Macaca mulatta: one gene and its partners. The protein of the gene in region 3 binds, or shares a complex with, the protein of the main gene of each other region. Links are inferred from orthologs where the notes say so. Each region holds a gene or a part of one and is shown on either strand. Other genes may lie near its edges. The genes, in order: FDX2, LYRM4 and NDUFAB1.

The links.
Region 1: NDUFAB1 (region 3) and FDX2 share a complex: the UniProt entries of both Homo sapiens proteins name them as parts of the mitochondrial core iron-sulfur cluster (ISC) complex. The link is inferred for Macaca mulatta from reciprocal best matches to the Homo sapiens genes NDUFAB1 and FDX2.
Region 2: the proteins of NDUFAB1 (region 3) and LYRM4 are in contact, whole or in part, in a crystal structure (PDB 6ODD), measured with the Homo sapiens proteins. The link is inferred for Macaca mulatta from reciprocal best matches to the Homo sapiens genes NDUFAB1 and LYRM4. Residues at the interface, in NP_004994.1 of Homo sapiens: Lys92, Asp111, Ser112, Leu113, Asp114, Val116, Glu117, Met120, Glu123, Asp124, Glu129, Ile130, Asp132; in NP_065141.3 of Homo sapiens: Arg6, Leu10, Ser11, Tyr13, Arg14, Leu17, Arg18, Lys21, Arg37, Phe40, Arg41, Lys44.

What each region holds. Positions count from the first base shown.
Region 1 is NC_133424.1:11,033,765-11,039,595, reverse strand, and holds the start of FDX2 (ferredoxin-2, mitochondrial), read left to right. Parts: upstream 1-2,111; 5' UTR 2,112-2,124; coding exon 2,125-2,278; intron 2,279-2,370; coding exon 2,371-2,425; intron 2,426-2,637; coding exon 2,638-2,744; exon of another isoform or gene 2,745-3,639; intron 3,640-5,831. Other genes in the region: RAVER1 (ribonucleoprotein PTB-binding 1), read left to right, coding at 358-441, 531-677. UniProt on the Homo sapiens protein: Electron donor, of the core iron-sulfur cluster (ISC) assembly complex, that acts to reduce the persulfide into sulfide during [2Fe-2S] clusters assembly on the scaffolding protein ISCU.
Region 2 is NC_133409.1:177,975,522-177,980,898, forward strand, and holds part of LYRM4 (LYR motif-containing protein 4), read left to right. Parts: intron 1-1,315; coding exon 1,316-1,436; intron 1,437-5,377.
Region 3 is NC_133425.1:23,137,027-23,143,019, reverse strand, and holds the start of NDUFAB1 (acyl carrier protein, mitochondrial), read left to right. Parts: upstream 1-2,131; 5' UTR 2,132-2,148; coding exon 2,149-2,316; exon of another isoform or gene 2,317-3,220; intron 3,221-4,026; exon of another isoform or gene 4,027-4,964; intron 4,965-5,993. UniProt on the Homo sapiens protein: Carrier of the growing fatty acid chain in fatty acid biosynthesis.

The DNA of each region.
Region 1 (5,831 bases), on a different chromosome or scaffold from region 3:
GGTCGGTCTTGCTCAGGGTGGAGTAGCAACAGCCTGTTGTCCTCTATCCACCCTGTGCATCAAGCACCTAGCACTGCTAGCCTTCCAGGCTTTCTGTCACTTCCTCCCTCTACAGCCCAGGCTGTGGGTGCTACTTGGCCCCATTTGACAGATGAGAAAACCGAGGCTCAAATAAAATGGAGCAATTGGCCCCCAGGTCTCATGGCTAGAAAGTAGCAGAAGCAAGATTTGAACCTGAAACCTGAAACCCTTTGCCTGCGGGGACAGGGAGGGCGGGGAGGGCGCGGGCGCCGGGCGGGAGGGGTGCTTCCTCTGGCCCCCAGGGAGTAACCTGTTCCACCTCTCCATTTCTTCCAGGCGATCGGCTCTTCCCCACTGGGCTCCGGAGAAGGGCTCCTGGGCCTCGGCCCAGGGCCTAATGGTCATAGCCACCTGCTGAAGGTACGGGCAGGGGGTGGGGACATGCAGGGCTGGGGAGCCCCGGCCCCCCAGCAGCCCCTGACCTGCCCCGCCCTGCCCTCTGTCTCCAGACCCCACTGGGCGGCCAGAAACGCAGCTTTGCCCACCTACTGCCCTCGCCCGAGCCCAGCCCAGAAGGCAGCTATGTGGGCCAGCACTCCCAGGGCCTCGGCGGCCACTACGCGGACTCCTATCTGAAGCGGAAGAGGATTTTCTAAGTGGCTGGTGCCAGAGATAACTCAAGGGCCTGCACCAAATCGCTTTTGGGTTTTCTGGTGTTTTGTTTTGTGTTTTTTTAAACCATTTTCTCTCTTTCGGTAATAGAAAAATCTCTGAAAGACTTTACTGACCAATCAGCTGGAGCCCCAGGAGCCCAAGGGGTGTGGGGGAGTCTGGAGGCCTCACTGCACCTCTGGCTTGCTCCCCACACCGAAACCCTGCAGCCTTAAGAGAGAGGGGCCCCGGCCTGCTCTCCCTCCCTCCCCCCATCTCCTCTTCCGATGTGCCCGTCTCTCCGGAGCCCTCCTGCCTCGTTGATCCTGTAATTTTGGCCTTTCGAGTGCCTTGGAGGTTTCCCTGACCTCCCGTGAGGATACAGAGACTGTCTCCTTTTTTTTAACTTTGACAACTGACTTCTGTTTCCTTTTCTAATTTTTATTTTTAAAACCACCGCGGACAACCCCCAGCTGTGATTCCTTCAAGGTCCGGCCTGTCCGGGCCACCATTCCACACTTTGCAGTTTGAAACAGCTCTTTTTCCCACATCTGCTGCAGGCATGGCTGTCTCCTGCCCCTGCCTGCCCATCTGGCCAATATCCCAGCCCCGGGGCCCGGGGTCCCTGCCGCAGCCCCCTCCCCTTCTGATGCCTTAAAAGCTGGGCCCCAGGCCCTGCTGGCCAGAGCCACAGATGCCAAGCTCTGGGAGCTTGACTATGGACCAAACAGCTCTGGCCTAGGGATTGGGCCACCCTACCTAGGATCTCCACCCTGGGGACAGTAGAAGGGCAAAGCCTTCATCTTGGCTAACCAGCCTCACCACCCCCTCCTGCCTGGGCCTCAGTGCAGAGATGGGCTTTCTCTGCCAATCCCCTGCTGTCTGTCTGTGGGAGTCGGACGTTGTGCCCATCTCCCAGAGCCTCTGCTGTCACTCCCTTGTTGAAGATGAATTCTTGAATTCTGCCTGCCCACCCCAGGCCAGATCCCCGGAGCTGGCCTCCTTTCAGCCCAGGGCCAGAAACCAGCACTCCATGAAGATAAGCTCTGGGCCCGCACACCAGCAGGACCTGTCGACCTGAGGTGACCCTGGGCCTTGCCCCCAGCCAACTGGGCCACTAGCTTCCCTCCCTTGACTCTGGGGGTCCACATCCACTCCAAGGGGACTATTCCCCGGACCCCACCCCAATCTCCCCACACGGACCTTTGCTGAATTAAAGTTTGTAAGTAAATGGTTTTAAAGAAATCAGAGTTGGCTGGTTCTTGGGACAAACAGTGGGCCTGAGTGGGAGGTCTGGGATGGCCCCGCGGGTATACCTGAGCTGGATCCCGCCCTGCTCTTCCCTCCTTGTCACCGCAGGCCCTAAGCAAACATCTGCGCTTCTGTTCCAGTGATTACGGGCCCTTACCTCGCGTCCCTGGCGCGGCGCATGCTCAGTCGGTGGGTCACGTGATGCACGTCATGGCTGCCTCCATGACCCGGGGCGGCGTGAGTGCCAGGGTTCTGCTTCAGACTGCAAGGGGCACCTGGTGGAACCGAACTGGGGGCACTTCGGGGTCGGGGGAGGGGGTGGCGCCGGGGACAACCAGAAAGTTTCAAGCGACAGGTACCTGAGGCGCCCGGGGCGGGCAGCGTTAACCCGTCAGATGCCGGCGGGGCGGGGCTCTGCGCAGCCGCTCACTCAACCGTGTTTTCCAGGCTCGCGCTCGGCGGGAGAGGAGGAGACAGGCGGCCCCGAGCAGCCCGGGGACGTGTGAGTGCAGGGGGCCAAGTCCCCCATTCCTCATCCCACGGAATTCCTCTGGTCCCCATCTTGCCCTGTAGCTTCATCTCGCGGTCCCCCTTCTGCTTTGCCCTATTCAGCACCCGTGCGTCAAGCCTCAGTCCCTACTTCCTAACCCCAGATTCTACCCGGGCCCTGAGCCCATCATCCAGTTCGGCATTCGCACCTCCATCTGTCCCCAGGGTGAACGTGGTGTTCGTAGACCGCTCAGGCCAGCGGATCCCAGTGAGCGGCAGAGTCGGAGACAATGTTCTCCATCTGGCACAGCGCCACGGGGTGGACCTGGAAGGTAGGAACTGGGCACAGGGAGTTAAGGAGGTCCTTATCCATTTGTCCAAAACAAAAACAAAAACAAATCAGGTGTGTCTCTTCATGACTTTTCCCACCAAATATGGACTAAAATCCAAACCCCTTACCACGGCCTCATCTGTTGCCAAGCTCTTATTTATTAAGCATTTATTAGAGATCACTAGGACTCCTGACTCCCAGGATTTTGTGTTCTCTTCCCCCTTCCTCCCTGTATTCTAGCCACATTGGCTTTCTTTTTGTTGTTGTTTTGAGATGGAGTTTCACTCTTGTTGCCCAGGCTGGAGTGCAATGGCTTACTGCACCTCAGCTCACTGCAACCTCCACCTCGCGGGTTCAAGCGATTCCCCTGCACCACCTGCCAGACTAGCTGGGATTACAGGCGCCCACCACCAAGCCCAGCTAAGTTTTGTATTTTTAGTAGAGACAGGGTTTCACCACGTTAGCCAGGCTGGTCTCAAACTCCTGACAGGCAATCTACCCGCTCAGCCTCCTGAAATGCTGGGATTACAGGCGTGAGCCACCACACCCAGCCCACACTGGCTTTCTTGTGGTTCCTCAAATAGTCCAGCTCATTCCTTCCTGCCTCGGGTCCACTGCATTTGCTGTTCCCTCTGTCTGAAGTGCTTGCCCAGCAAACATTCTGGCTCTTTCTCATCCTTCAGACCTCAATGTAAATGTCATGTCCCTAACAATCCCATTCCCCTCAGCCCAGCTGAAGTACCCATGCGCTAGTTACTCTGTCTCATCAGTGTGATATGATATATAGCACTTCTCACTTTTTTGTCTTTTCAAGAGACACAGCCTTGCTGTGTTGCCAATGCCGGAGTGCCATGATGCAATCATACGTCACTGCAGCGTTGAACTCCTGGGTTCAAGTGATCCTCCCACCTCAGCCTCCCAAGTAGCTGGGATTATAGGCACAAGCCACGATGCCAGGCTGTTTTGTTTCCTACTTTGTCATCTGTCCCCCAGTGAGACTGGAGACCCATGTTCTTATTCATGCTTATCTGTTGCCTTGTCTGTCAGGATGTAACAGGTGTTTGATAATTTGTTGAGAGAAAAATAATAATAGAAATTTCTTGTCCAGGCGCAGTGGCTCACGCTTGTAATCCCAACACTTTCGGAGGCCGAGGCAGGTGAATCACTTGAGGACAGGAGTTTGAGACCAGCCTGGCCAACATGGTGAAACCTTGTCTCTACAAGAAACACAAAAATTAGCGGGGTGTGGTGGCACATGCATATAATCCCAGCTACTTGGGAGGCTGAGGCACAAGAATCACTTGAACTTGGGAGGCAGAGGTTGCAGTGAGCCAAGATGGCACCACTGTACTCCAGGCTGGATGGCAGAGCGAGACTGTCTCAAAAGAAAAAATATATATATATATATATATCTCTTTAACTATGTTAATACATATTCACTGACTGAATCTTCATGACAACTTGAGTAGTAGAGACTGTTATTCCATATTATAGATGAGGAAACTAAACCCCAGGTTAAGTAGACCTGGTCTAAGGTCAAGTGAGTGACAATACTAGACTCACCAGTCCATTTTAGCCACTAATCTGTGTTGCCTTTTTATGAATACCTACTGCTCGTCAGGCAGCAATATACAAAACACATAAGGCCTCTGTCATTTCACACCCATTTCGGCCTAATAGGGACAATAATCCCACAGGTAAATATATAATTATGTCATGAGTAACTTGGGAAGGGTTGTCTGGAAGAAAACATACAGGGTTTGCTTTTGGAATGAATATATCAGGGATCCTGATTTTATCATTAAAGGGGAAGATATGTTGGGAGGGGTTATGAAAGGCCTACGTCAAGTTCTGTTCTGGAATCCAGCAGCCAGTAGTCTAGGACAGAGATTGGAATGTGAAATAGATTTGCTTTTTTTTGAGACAGAGTCTCGCTCTGTCACCCAGGCTGGAGTGCAGTGGCCAGATTTCAGTTCACTGCAAGCTCTGCCTCCCGGGTTTACGCCATTGTCCTGCCTCAGCCTCCTGAGTAGCTGGGACTACAGGCGCCCGCCACCACGCCCAGCTAGTTTTTTTGTTTTTTTTTTTAGTAGAGATGGGGTTTCACCATGTTAGCCAGGATGGTCTCGATCTCCTGACCTCGTGATCCGCCCGTCTCGGCCTCCCAAAGTGTTGGGATTACAAGCTTGAGCCACCGCGCCCGGCCCGATTTGTTTATTTATTTATTTATTTGAGACAGAGTCTCGTTCTATCACCCAGGCTGGAGTGCAATGGCGTGATCTTGGCTTACTGCAACCTCCCCCTCCCGGGTTCAAGTGATTCTCTTGCCTTAGCCTCCCGAGTAGCTGGGATTACAGGCGCCTGCCACCATGCCCAGCTAAATTTTTGTTTTTTTTTTTTGAGACGGAGTCTCGCTCTGTCGCCCAGGCTGGAGTGCAGTGGTCGGATCTCACCTCACTGCAAGCTCTGCCTCTCGGGTTTACGCCATTCTCCTGCCTCAGCCTCCCGAGTAGCTGGGACTACAGGCGCCCGCCACCTCGCCCAGCTAGTTTTTTGTATTTTTTAGTAGAGACGGGGTTTCACCGGGTTAGCCAGGATGCTCTCGATCTCCTGACCTCGTGATCTGCCCGTCTCAGCCTCCCAAAGTGCTGGGATTACAGGCTTGAGCCACCGCGCCCGGCCAATTTTTGTATTTTTAATAGAGATGAGGTTTCACCATGTTGGCCAGGGTGGTCTCAAACTCCTGACCACAGTTGATCTACCTGCCTTGGCCTCCCAAAGTGCTGGGATTACAGACATGAGCCACTGCGCTGGGCCAGTAGAGGTCAGTGGCCTGGCAAGGTGTGGTGGCTCACGCCTGTAATCGCAGCACTTTGGGAGGCCGAGGCGAGCAGATCACGACATCAGGAGATCAAGACCATCCTGGCTAACAGGGTGAAACCCCTTCTCTACTAAAAATACAAAAACAAAATTAGCCAGGCATGATGGCGGCCGGCTGTAGTCCCAGCTACTCTGGGAGGCTGAGGCAGGAGAATGGCGTGAATCTGGAGAGAGAATGACGTGAGGCAGAGCTTGCAGTGAGCTGAGA
Region 2 (5,377 bases), on a different chromosome or scaffold from region 3:
TGCCTGTAATCCTAGCCACTGTGGAGGCTGAGGCGGGAGGATCACTTGAGCCCAGGGGTTTGTGATTGTAGTGAGTTATGATCATGACACTGCCTGTGCAACAGAGGGACACCCCATCTCTAAAAAAGAAAAAAAAATAGAGAAAATGGTGTCTCACATGTCTGACTCAGTCTGCTTCTCCTTAGTCTTGTGCCTTTCATTCTGGAGTAGATGGGGTGGAGCTAGCGATAGACCATAGCCATCTGAGTGTGGGACTATGTCTAAGGACTGCTGAGTTGTCTGTTGTGGCTAATTATCCAGACCACTCTACCTTCTGTACGCACACTGTGGTGTGACTGTAAAGATGCAGGACTAAGGAAGGCAAGGTTATGGCATGAGGAGAGGGAATACTAATTGCATTAAGGCGTAACAAGTGTTAAGAATAGCTTTCATTTATTGAGTCTTTCTATATAACAGGCTCTGGGCCAAATTCCAGACCCATGTTATAAAGCCAAATCCTCCCAGCAGCACTTAGCATTATTATGCCTTTATGACAGATGAGGAGACATGGCCTTTTGTTAAAAAGCTTGCCCAAGTTCACACAAACAGTAGGAGCTGGAGCAAGGCTACAAACCCAAGCCTGTCTGATCCGCAAGCCTTGCTGTGGAACTGCTGTCCTGTACTGCAAGTGATCTGTCTGCTTGGGGGTGGGTGGTAGGCGTGTGCACTTTCAAGATGGAGGAAAAGAAAGCATGTTGGCCTAATTCCACAGGTTCAACTGTGGTGGGATCCTAATGTGGACCAAAGAAAGGGAAGTGAGAGCCAGAAGATGGGACAGGGATTGGAAAGCATAGGTCACTATCTGGGTACATGCAAATGTGATCATCATTTAACCTCTGAATTTTTTTCTTCCTTTTTTAAAGACAGGGTCTTGCATTGTCGCCCAGGCTGGAGTGCAGTAGCACAATCATGGATCACTGCAGCTAACCTCTGAATTCTTGATTTATGTCTGTACACTAAAGGTTCAATTATCCATGTAAATGGAGTGAAGCCAGATGTGAATAATGCTAAAGAACCAATAATCTAAGGAACTCTTCAGTAGCAGTTTGCCATTTGTATGTGGCTTGTTGAGAGTAGATTTATTTTCCTAAATCTGTTTGCTTAGTCATCCCAGAATGGTAATGGATCTGCCTGCGCCACGAGCAGAGATCAAAGTGGATTATCCATAGGGGAAGATTAGACAGTTAATTCTAAAGGAAAAGCTTTTAAATTCATTTGAAAGCATAGTCTCAGACACACTGACACCTTTTCTTTTTTTTCCTCTGAATTCATTTAGAACATATGCTGTCAGGAGGATAAGAGATGCCTTCAGAGAAAATAAAAATGTGAAGGATCCTGTAGAAATTCAAACCCTAGTGAATAAAGCCAAGAGAGACCTTGAAGTAATTCGTCGACAGGTAAGATGGTTCAATGACGTACTGTTTTTCATTAAGAGCTTTAAACTTTGACATATCCCCCTTGATTAGACAGCAGTGCTTTTGGTGTTGGTGATTTACAGAGCAGGATCATGAAACTCTGTTCCTTGTACTAATACAGACATGTAAAGGTGAACTCTCATATTTTCAGATTCAAGTTGAACTTAAAATATCAGCTTTCCAGAATTTCCAGGAAGTGTATCCTTCTGGAAAGCTGATACTTTAAATATGAGAAATTTCTGCATTACTGTTATTGAAAGCTAAGTTTTTATAAGATGTATTGCACATGTATACTTGGATATATTTCAGAGTATAAATATATTCTCCCTTTCCTAGTATTTTTAATCACAATTCAGGATAAACAGAACGTGGCGCTTTTCTTGAAGACACCATCGTGGGTGGTGAACCTGAATTACGTTGCCACATGGGCGGTGCATCTGCAGGTGCAGATGGTGTAAAGTCACCTGCTTGGGTGCTGACCCCATAAAGGACCCTGGAGGGCGTGTTTTCATTTCGTGGAAGTGCCAAGGATCACCTTGTGCTTCCTTCTCTCATTCTCGTGAGGCGGGCGGAGCTTCTCTCATCCTCGTGAGGCAGGCGGGGCTTCTCATTCTCGTGAGGCGGGCGGGGCTTCTCTCATCCTCGTGAGACGGGCGGGGCTTCTCTCATTCTCGTGAGGCGGGTGGGGATTCTCATTCTCGTGAGGCGGGCGGGGCTTCTCATTCTCGTGAGGCGGGCGGGGCTTCTCATTCTCGTGAGGTGGGCGGGGCTTCTCTCATCCTCGTGAGGTGGGCGGGGCTTCTCATTCTGTTGAGGCGGGCGGGGCTTCTCTCATCCTCGTGAGGCGGGCGGGGCTTCTCCCATTCTCGTGAGGCGGGCGGGGCTTCTCATTCTCTTGAGGTGGGCGGGGGCGTCTCTCATTCTCTTGAGGTGGGCGGGGCTTCTCTCATTCTCGTGAGGCGAGCGGGGCTTCTCATCCTCGTGAGGCGGGCAGGGCTTCTCATCCTCGTGAGGTGGGCGGGGCTTCTCTCATCCTCGTGAGGCGGGCGGGGCTTCTCATCCTCGTGAGGCGGGCGGGGCTTCTCTCATTCTCGTGAGGTGGGCAGGGCTTCTCATTCTCTTGAGGTGGGCGGGGCTTCTCTCATTCTCGTGAGGCGGGCGGGGCTTCTCTCATTCTCGTGAGGCGGGCGGAGCTTCTCATTCTCGTGAGGCGGGTGGGGCTTCTCATTCTTGTGAGGCGGGCGGGGCTTCTCTCATTCTTGTGAGGTGGGCGGGGCTTCTCATTCTCGTGAGGCGGGCGGAGCTTCTCTCATTCTCGTGAGGCGGGTGGGGATTCTCATTCTCGTGAGGCGGGCGGGGCTTCTCATTCTCGTGAGGTGGGCGGGGCTTCTCATTCTCGTGAGGCGGGCGGGGCTTCTCATTCTCTTGAGGTGGGCGGGGGCGTCTCTCATTCTCTTGAGGTGGGCGGGGCTTCTCTCGTTCTCGTGAGGCGAGCGGGGCTTCTCATCCTCGTGAGGCGGGCAGGGCTTCTCATCCTCGTGAGGTGGGCGGGGCTTCTCATTCTGTTGAGGCGGGCGGGGCTTCTCTCATCCTCGTGAGGCGGGCGGGGCTTCTCATTCTGTTGAGGCGGGCGGGGCTTCTCTCATCCTCGTGAGGCGGGCGGGGCTTCTCTCATTCTCGTGAGGCGGGCAGGGCTTCTCATTCTCTTGAGGTGGGCGGGGCTTCTCTCATTCTCGTGAGGTGGGCGGGGCTTCTCTCATTCTCGTGAGGCGGGCGGGGCTTCTCTCATTCTCGTGAGGTGGGCGGAGCTTCTCTCGGTCTCGTGAGGTGGGCGGAGCTTCTCGTTCTCGTGAGGCGGGCGGGGCTTCTCTCATTCTCGTGAGGCGGGCGGAGCTTCTCTCATCCTCGTGAGGCGGGCGGAGCTTCTCTCGTTCTCGTGAGGCGGGCGGGGCTTCTCATTCTCGTGAGGCGGGCGGGGCTTTTCTCATCAGGTGAGGTGGGTGGAGCTTGTGCAGCAGCTTGATCTCCTGGGCGGTCTGATAACATCCCCAAGAGTAATTAGAACGTCAGAGGTTGAAGTCACTGTCCACCGATGGGTTTTCTTACTCTCTAAAAAACACCCTTTTCACTGTTTTTCTTGGACTTAGCAGCAATCACGCAATAAACTCCATTTCTGCTTCCATTTCGTGTTTCTCTTTTACTTGCAGGAAATTTGTTTATAAAGTGTGGAGGGGGAAACCCTTTACCATTTCTGTAAGTTATGCTGTACTGTTTTGAGAGGGCTTCTTTAGCATCATCAGGAGATGCCAGCTTGGCTGATATTAAATTAGATAATAATCTTTCCCTGACCCTTCTTCATGCTTGACTCTAAACAATTCAAAAAAGAAGCAATATTTGAAACTATAATTTGCAATTTATGTCAAGATTAAAGGTCTTGTTATATTGCCTACATAATATAACAGTTCTTTCTAGAATAGCATTTGGGATTCTCATAACCATCCTTGAGTTCTACAGCTATTTAGTAATAGAATAACTGCCACACTCAGACAGTCCTGGGAAATGATCTCTAAAGCCAGAGGATAGTAGGGTACTCAGAAAAGAAACTGATCTGTACATTTATATATATTTTGAGAGTGGCATTTACGTGAGTAAACATTTTGAAAACTCTAGAACAATGGCATTTCCAGTCACCAGTGGTTGAATTTTATGAGATCCTTTAGCAGTGGAGCATAGAAGAACAAGCAGCTGAGTTCTTATTTTGCATAAACGCAGAAAGATTTTGTTCTTTGGCACTTACTGTGTGTAGAGGTTGGCAAAACAGGCAGGTTTTATCTTTAGCGTAAAATTGTACAGAGTATAAACTGCTTAGAAAAGAGGGATTGTAAATAATCTGTGCCATCATTTCTCCTGCTATATCTAATTGTCTGTGTCACTTCTTGGTTTGAAATGCTCAAACCACCCTTTCAACAAAAAAACAAAAACAAAAGACTAAACTGGCCCTCATCTGACATCCCAGTGATCCCCCCTCCCCCAGGACAGACTCACTGGAGCAGTGGCATGTGCAGGGCAAGGGCGCCCTCCCCAGGGCAGCCTGTCCACTGCACCTTCCTGATGGAGAATACATACTGCGGGGCCAGGGCTTCCATGGTGACCTTGCAGAACAGCATGCTGTCACCACCTCAGGGATGAAAGCGTTCTCATCCCTTCAGAGAACCAGTTAGACAGCAGCTGCTAGGAAGTTTCTACTCACTTCCCTTTCATGTCAAGACTCTTCCTGAATCCACATGCAGCCTTTACCGTAGTTAGGGTATAAGGCGTAGTGGCCTCCCAAGCCATCTGGCTGCAAGCTGGCATAAGATGCCTTTGGACTAACAGCCTGTGGTGAGGTGGAGAGTCTGTATTTTTGCACACTGTCCTCTCTAACTGGCTGCTGTAGTAGCCTTCTGACCTGTCCTCCGGGTGCCCCCACTACCACTGCACCCCACACACGGTCTGTTTTCCACACACCACCATCACAGTGATCTTTTTCAAAAGAAAGATTGGGCCACTGCCCCGCTCAACCCCTTCCAGGCTCTTGCTTCATGGCACCCTAACATAAAACCTGAAGCCCATCTGAGGTCCCCAGAGGCCCTCCATTGCTCTCCTCTCCCTCACTCTCCCTATTTCCATGAACTTGCTGCCATCTCAATGCCTGTGCACCCCCTACCTGGAGGAGTCCCTCCAGACGTTCCTGTAGCTCCCTTCCCCTTCCACCCAGGCCTGTGCTCAGATTTCGTCTTCCCATAGGGGCCCCCCTGGGATCACACCATATAAAACAGACTCACTGTCTCTCCCCTGCCCTGCCTTAGTTTTCCTGACAGCACTTATCAGTACCTACTATGACATTACTTGTGGCCTTGTCTGTTTTCTCCCTCTTTTGCAAG
Region 3 (5,993 bases):
AAATACATATATACATACATGTAACACTGAAATACTAGATAGGTCATGGGAAGAGATGGCCCCAAGTGTGAACTTAGTAGGCTATTAGGTTCTTCCTAAGATTAGAGCTACATTTTTTGGGAGACAGAGTCTCACTCTGTTGCCCAGGCTGGAGTGCAGTGGTACAATCATAGCTCACTGCAGCCTTGACCTCCTATGCTCAATTGGTCCTCCTACCTCAGCTTTCCCGAGCAGCTGGGACCACAGACATGCACCACCACGCCTGGCTAATTTTTTAAGTTTTTTGTGGAGACAGGGTCTCCCTATGTTGCCTAGGCTGGTCTCAAACTCCTGGGCTCAAGTGATCCACCTCCCTTGGCCTCCCAAAGTGCTGAGATTACAGAGGTGAGTCACTGAACCAGGCTTGCATGTCTGGCTTGCTCACTTTTGCAGCCTCAACAATGAGTACTTAACAGATATTCAATTTTCTTTTTTTTTTTTGAGATGGAGTTTCACTCTTGTTGCCCAGGCTAGAGTACAATGGCACAATCTCAGTTCTCTGCAACCTCCGCCTCCTGGGTACAAGCGATTCTCCTGTCTCAGCCTCCTGCCTCCTGAGTAGCTGGGATTACAGGCACCTGCCACCACACCCGGCTAATTTTTGTATTTTTAGTGGAGACGGGGTTTCACCATGTTGTCCAGGATGGTCTTGAACTCCTGACCTCAGGTGATCCACCTGCCTCAGCCTCCCAAAGTGCTGGGATTACAGGTGTGAGCCACCACACCTGGCAGCATACCATTACATTTTATTTTACTTGGATTTAACAAAAATAAAAAGAAATTGAGGTAAAACTGATGGCATTATTGGATCGTTCATTCAGGCAGATTTCAGAATTTGGAGTCACTATCCCGTGTGTTTCAATTTCAGTCAATATCCTTTGACTACCTGCTTAGAAATAGGAATTCGCCTAAACTCCTCCCTCGCTTACCTATTTTTGTTAGCTATTGTAAGGAACATGGCTGTGCTTTGGTCAAGGATAGGCCAAGGTAAGATGTTTACATCCTGCGTGACTCAGCAAGTTTAGACACAGGCGTATAACTCCACTTGTTATCACAGCCATGTAGCCATAACATGGGAAGGCCATCACTTGGCTCTAAGCCACTATTTTCTGTAAAAGGTATAATTGCCTTGCTAATACTGTACAGGCCTTCGTGCCCAGAGAAAGAGTGAGAGAGCCAGAGCTGTCCGTCTTTGCAGACAGACGTGGGGGAGCCAGAACACAGCTGAGAGAAAGAGTTCAGCTGCTGACCCTGAAAGCAAGGGAGAGCAGCCTCGCAGCTGTGTGTTGGAGCCCCGGGACTAAACAGCCGAGACAAGGTGGACAGTGTGAGAGAACTAGTGTAAGTAAGCTGCTGATGAGAGCTGCTGCTGAATAAAATCATCTTTCACCTGCCTACCGTCCCCTGAGTGTTCTTTTGCTATTTGCTCATCCACCCACTCACCTCAGAGCTCCATATGGGCTGGAACCTGGCTGTGGGCATGACAGTTGGCATAGTCGTGGACCTGACAGCTATATTATACACTGTCAAGTTTTAAAACATGTATTGTTTTAATCGTAATTCTCACATTTATTAGTCTTAGTATTTTTTCACATTATTTTTCATATATATATATAACCTATTCAATAAATGTTAATACTTGTGGAAGAATCGTGGAATCAAAACTTTGTCCTTTTTTTCTTTTAATCTTTTTTGTAACAGAGACGGAGTCTTGCCATGTTGGCCAGGTTAGTCTTGAACTCCTGAGCTCAAGCAGTCCTGCCACCTTGACCTCCCAAAGTGCTAGGATTAAAGGTGTGAGCCACCGCGCCCGGCCCCAAACGTTTAAATAGATATATTTCAGAACTTTCAGATAAAAAATGAAAGTAGGTTTGTCCTGTCGTGTCGCTTAGGGAAAGACTGCAACGTCTGCACAGTTCAGTCGTGGCACCAAGCAACTGTTCGTCCCGAACCTGGATGGGCTCCGAGGGCGCAGTGCCTCCTGGAGCCGCCAGGGGCCGCCACCGCCGGCGGTGCCCGACAGCGCTGCTCTGTGCGTCGCCTGCGCGCTGCCGGAGATGAACCCTGGGCCGGTGGCGGCGGCGCAGTGTATCCTGGGTCGGCGTAGCTATGGCGTCTCGTGTCCTTTCATCCTATGTCCGCCGCCTGCCCGCGGCCTTTGCGCCGCTGCCCCGGGTCCCGATGCTGGCCGTGGCCCGGCCTCTCAGCACCGGTCTGTGCTCCGTGGGGACCCAGACGAGGCTCGGGCCTTTGCAGCCGGCCTTAAAGCTCGCGCAGGTGACTCGCGGTGACTTTTCTGGGGCTTGGCAGGGGTCAGGAATTGGGCCCGGTGGGGGTGGGGGCCGGGCACCCCAGCCGCGCCAGCTGCCCGCAGGGGTGACCCGGGGGGCAGCCGGCTCGCTCCGCAGCCCCGCTGCCTAAAGGTGTTTAGTTGACCCCTGCCGGGAGGCCAGGTGACCTCGTAATAACTAGCAAGAGCACTGACTAGAGTCCAGCTCCGCTGGACTGCCGCTTACCGAAACTTTGGACAAGTCTTCTAGCCTTGCTCACACTCACCTGCAAAATTGGGATCCTGGCCTCTACCTTGCGGAGTAGCAATAAGGATTAGATGAGTTAATGCGGATAGAGCACCTCGTACCGTCTCAAAATAGTGGTCACCGTATTGTAGTGAAAGCAGCATGCAAAGAGGTAGCCACACTGGCCTACAGCCTTCTACAGAGCGGTTCTCTCTGCAGTTCTGTCCTTTTCCCTGCTGCACCTTCTGCCTGTGTCCAGGACTCCTGGAAGTAATTCTAGGAAACAAGTGCAGGTGACCTTTGAACAATAAGGATTTGAATTGTGTTGGTCCACTTAAATGCGGATTTTTTTCAACCAAACGCGGCCAGTATTTACGGGATGTGCCGCCCTGCGTATAAGGAGGGCAGGCTCTTCCTATAAGGGGATTCTGCAAGGCTGACGGCGGGACAGGAGTGTGCGCGGATTTGGGTATAGTCAGGGGTCCTGGAACCAATCTCCTGCGCGAATACCAAAGAACGACTGTGCCTGTAGTATATAGCTTGAGCTGATGAAATCTGCGTGAGGCTGAAACGCCAGGAGGCAGTGATTTTCAAACCTAGCTCCATATTCAAATTACGTGGGTAACTTGAAAAAACAGAAAAGCTTTGCCCCCTCCCCCTTCCTGCTGATTTATTCCTCTGGGATGATGCCCTGCCATGGTGGTGGTAGTGTTATTGTTGTTTTTGAGACAGAGTCTCGCTCTGTAGCCCAAGCTGGAGTGCAGTGGCGTGATCTCGGCTCACTGCAACCTTCGGCTCACTGCAACCTCCGGTTCACGGCAACCTCCGCCTATCAGGTTCAAGCGATTCTCCTCCCTCAGCCTCCCGAGTATTTGGGACTACAGGTGCCCACCACCATGCCTGGCCAATTTTTGTATTTTTAGTAGAGACGGGGTTTCATCATATTGGCCAGGCTGGTCTCCAACTCCTGACCTCGCAGTCCACCAGCCTTGGCCTCCCAAAGTGCTGCGATTACAGGCGTGAACCACCGCGCCCGGCCTGTTGTTGTTGTTCTAGGCTCTCCAGATGACTCTGAAGTGCAATTGAGAATAAAAATAACCTTCTTAAGGTAGGATAGACTCTCAAGGTCAAGTTATGAAACCCCTTTTCAAAGTCATAGACTTCAGGTAATAGGGTTTCAACCTTGACTGCATGTTAGTGTGAAAAATAAGTGTGTCTGGCCAGGCGCGGTGGCTCATGCCTGTAATCCCAGCACTTTGCGAGGCTGAGGTGGGCGGATCGCTTGAGCCCAGGAGTTTGAGACCTTCCTAGGCAACATGGTGGAACCCTGTCTCTACAAAAAAATACATAAATTAAGCCACCGCGGTGGCTCACGCCTGTAAACCCAGCACTTTGGGATGCCGAGGTGGGCGGATCACGAGGTCAGGCGATGGAGACCATTCTGGCTAACACGGTGAAACCCCTTCTCTACTAAAAATAAAAAAAATTAGCCGGGCGTGGTGGCACGCGCCTGTAGTCCCAGCTACTCAGGAGGCTGAGGCAGGAGAATCGCTTGAACCCGGGAGGCGGAGGTTGCAGTGAGCCGAGATCACCAGTGAGCCAAGATGCCAAGTCTGGCATCCTCCTTCCTGGCCACTCAAGGACTGAGTGACAACCTTTGTTATTGCATCAGCCTACAGATACTTCTGTCGTGGTGCTTGCCATATTTTTATTTCAGCTAAAATGATCTGTGGATTGGTCTTTTCCATTAGAGTGGAAGCTTCTCTGGGGGGAAGGTTGTGTCATATTCATCTTTGCATTTCCAGCCCATTGCACAGTTCTTGGCACACAGGTTAAGTTCCCAGGCTTCTGAGACAGTCATGTAAATAGATAAAGGCAAGACATTGTGAGAACAGGTGTGTGTAGTGCAGAAGCAAAAAGAGGTACTTGACCAACCTCTCAGCAAACATGATCTTGAAGGCCTGTGCAGAGACCAGGAAGAGCCCTCGTGGTTGACTCTTAGGGTGTCTGGAAGGGAACATCGTTGGGGGGAAGAGAGTGAGCATATCATGAAGGGAGCTGTGTGCTGCAGTGAGGAATTGTGGATGTTCTCTGCCAAGGTCATAGGGAGTGAACATGAAGCAGGGCTTATTGAAGGAATAAGCCCCAGGTGGCGGAGAAGGAACAGACATCTCTAAGCAGGAGTTTTGGAGACAGGTCAGGAGTTCATTTCCAAACTGTTGAGTTTGAGAGGTCTGGGCTGCCTATGTAGAGTGGACCAGTCGGCAGTTTGTAGAGACAGCCTTTAAAGCCCTCTCCTTAGCCTCCTCTGAGTTTGCCTCAGGCAAAAGTGGGCCCCAGTGGAGTACCTGGATTCTGATGGAACCTCATGCATTTGAATTACTAGTCCAGAGGGCCGTCACTGTTTACCTGCAAACAGTACCTTCTCTGATGTCTGGGAGAGGTGGTTTATTGCCCATATAATTGTTAAGTGTAGATCTTGAGGAAGAAAAATTAACACCAGAAACCTCACATGTTGGCTGTTGGGGAGGTGCTTGTCCATTTTGTATCCCTTTTATTTTTTCCCAGTCAACAGAGATCCAGCTAGAAGGAGCAACAAGACCTTCCAAGAGGCCATGCTGGAAGAACATGGGGTGAGGGGGATACCTAACCTCCCCCTGCCTCAGTTTCTCATCTGTAAAAAGGAGGGTGATAGTATCATGAATCTCACCAGATTACTGGAGAGCTGAAGGAAGATGATGTGTGTAAAGTGCTTAGGGCAATATCATAGCCTGACTTGATAAGAAATCAATGGAAGCCAGGCGTGGTAGTTTATGCCTGCCTGTAATCCCAGCACTTTCGGAGACTGAGGTGAGTGGATCACTTGAGACCAGGAGTTCAGGACCAGCCTGGCCAACATAGTGAAACCTCATCTCTACTAAAAATACAGAAATTAGCCAGGCATGGTGGAGCATGCCTGTAATCCCAGCTACTTGGGAGGCAGAGGCATAAGAATCACTTGAACCCAGAAGGCAGAGGTTGTAGTGAGCCGAGGTCACAACACTGCACTCCAGCCTGGGCAACACAGTGAGACTCTGTCTGAAAAAAAAGAAAAAGAAATCAATAGAGACCAGAGGCAGAAGCATGAGAGGGGAGTAGGATCAAGTATTTTGGGGCTACGCTACAGCCAAGGTATCAAACTAGCTGCTGCTGGTCATTGGTCTCAGGATCCTACTAAATAACCCAAAATAGCACTTATTGTGTAAGTGCCAGCCAATGTCCAAGCCCTTTACTTCATCTCTTCACAACAGTCCTGTGAGCATGGTACTGTTGTTTATCCCCATTTTACAGATGAGGAAACTGAGGTGTACAAGGTTAAGTAACCCACCCAAGGCCAAACAACTAGTGAGAGCCAGCACCATGGTGCAGGCATAGGCGGTCTAGTTTCAGAGTCTGAGC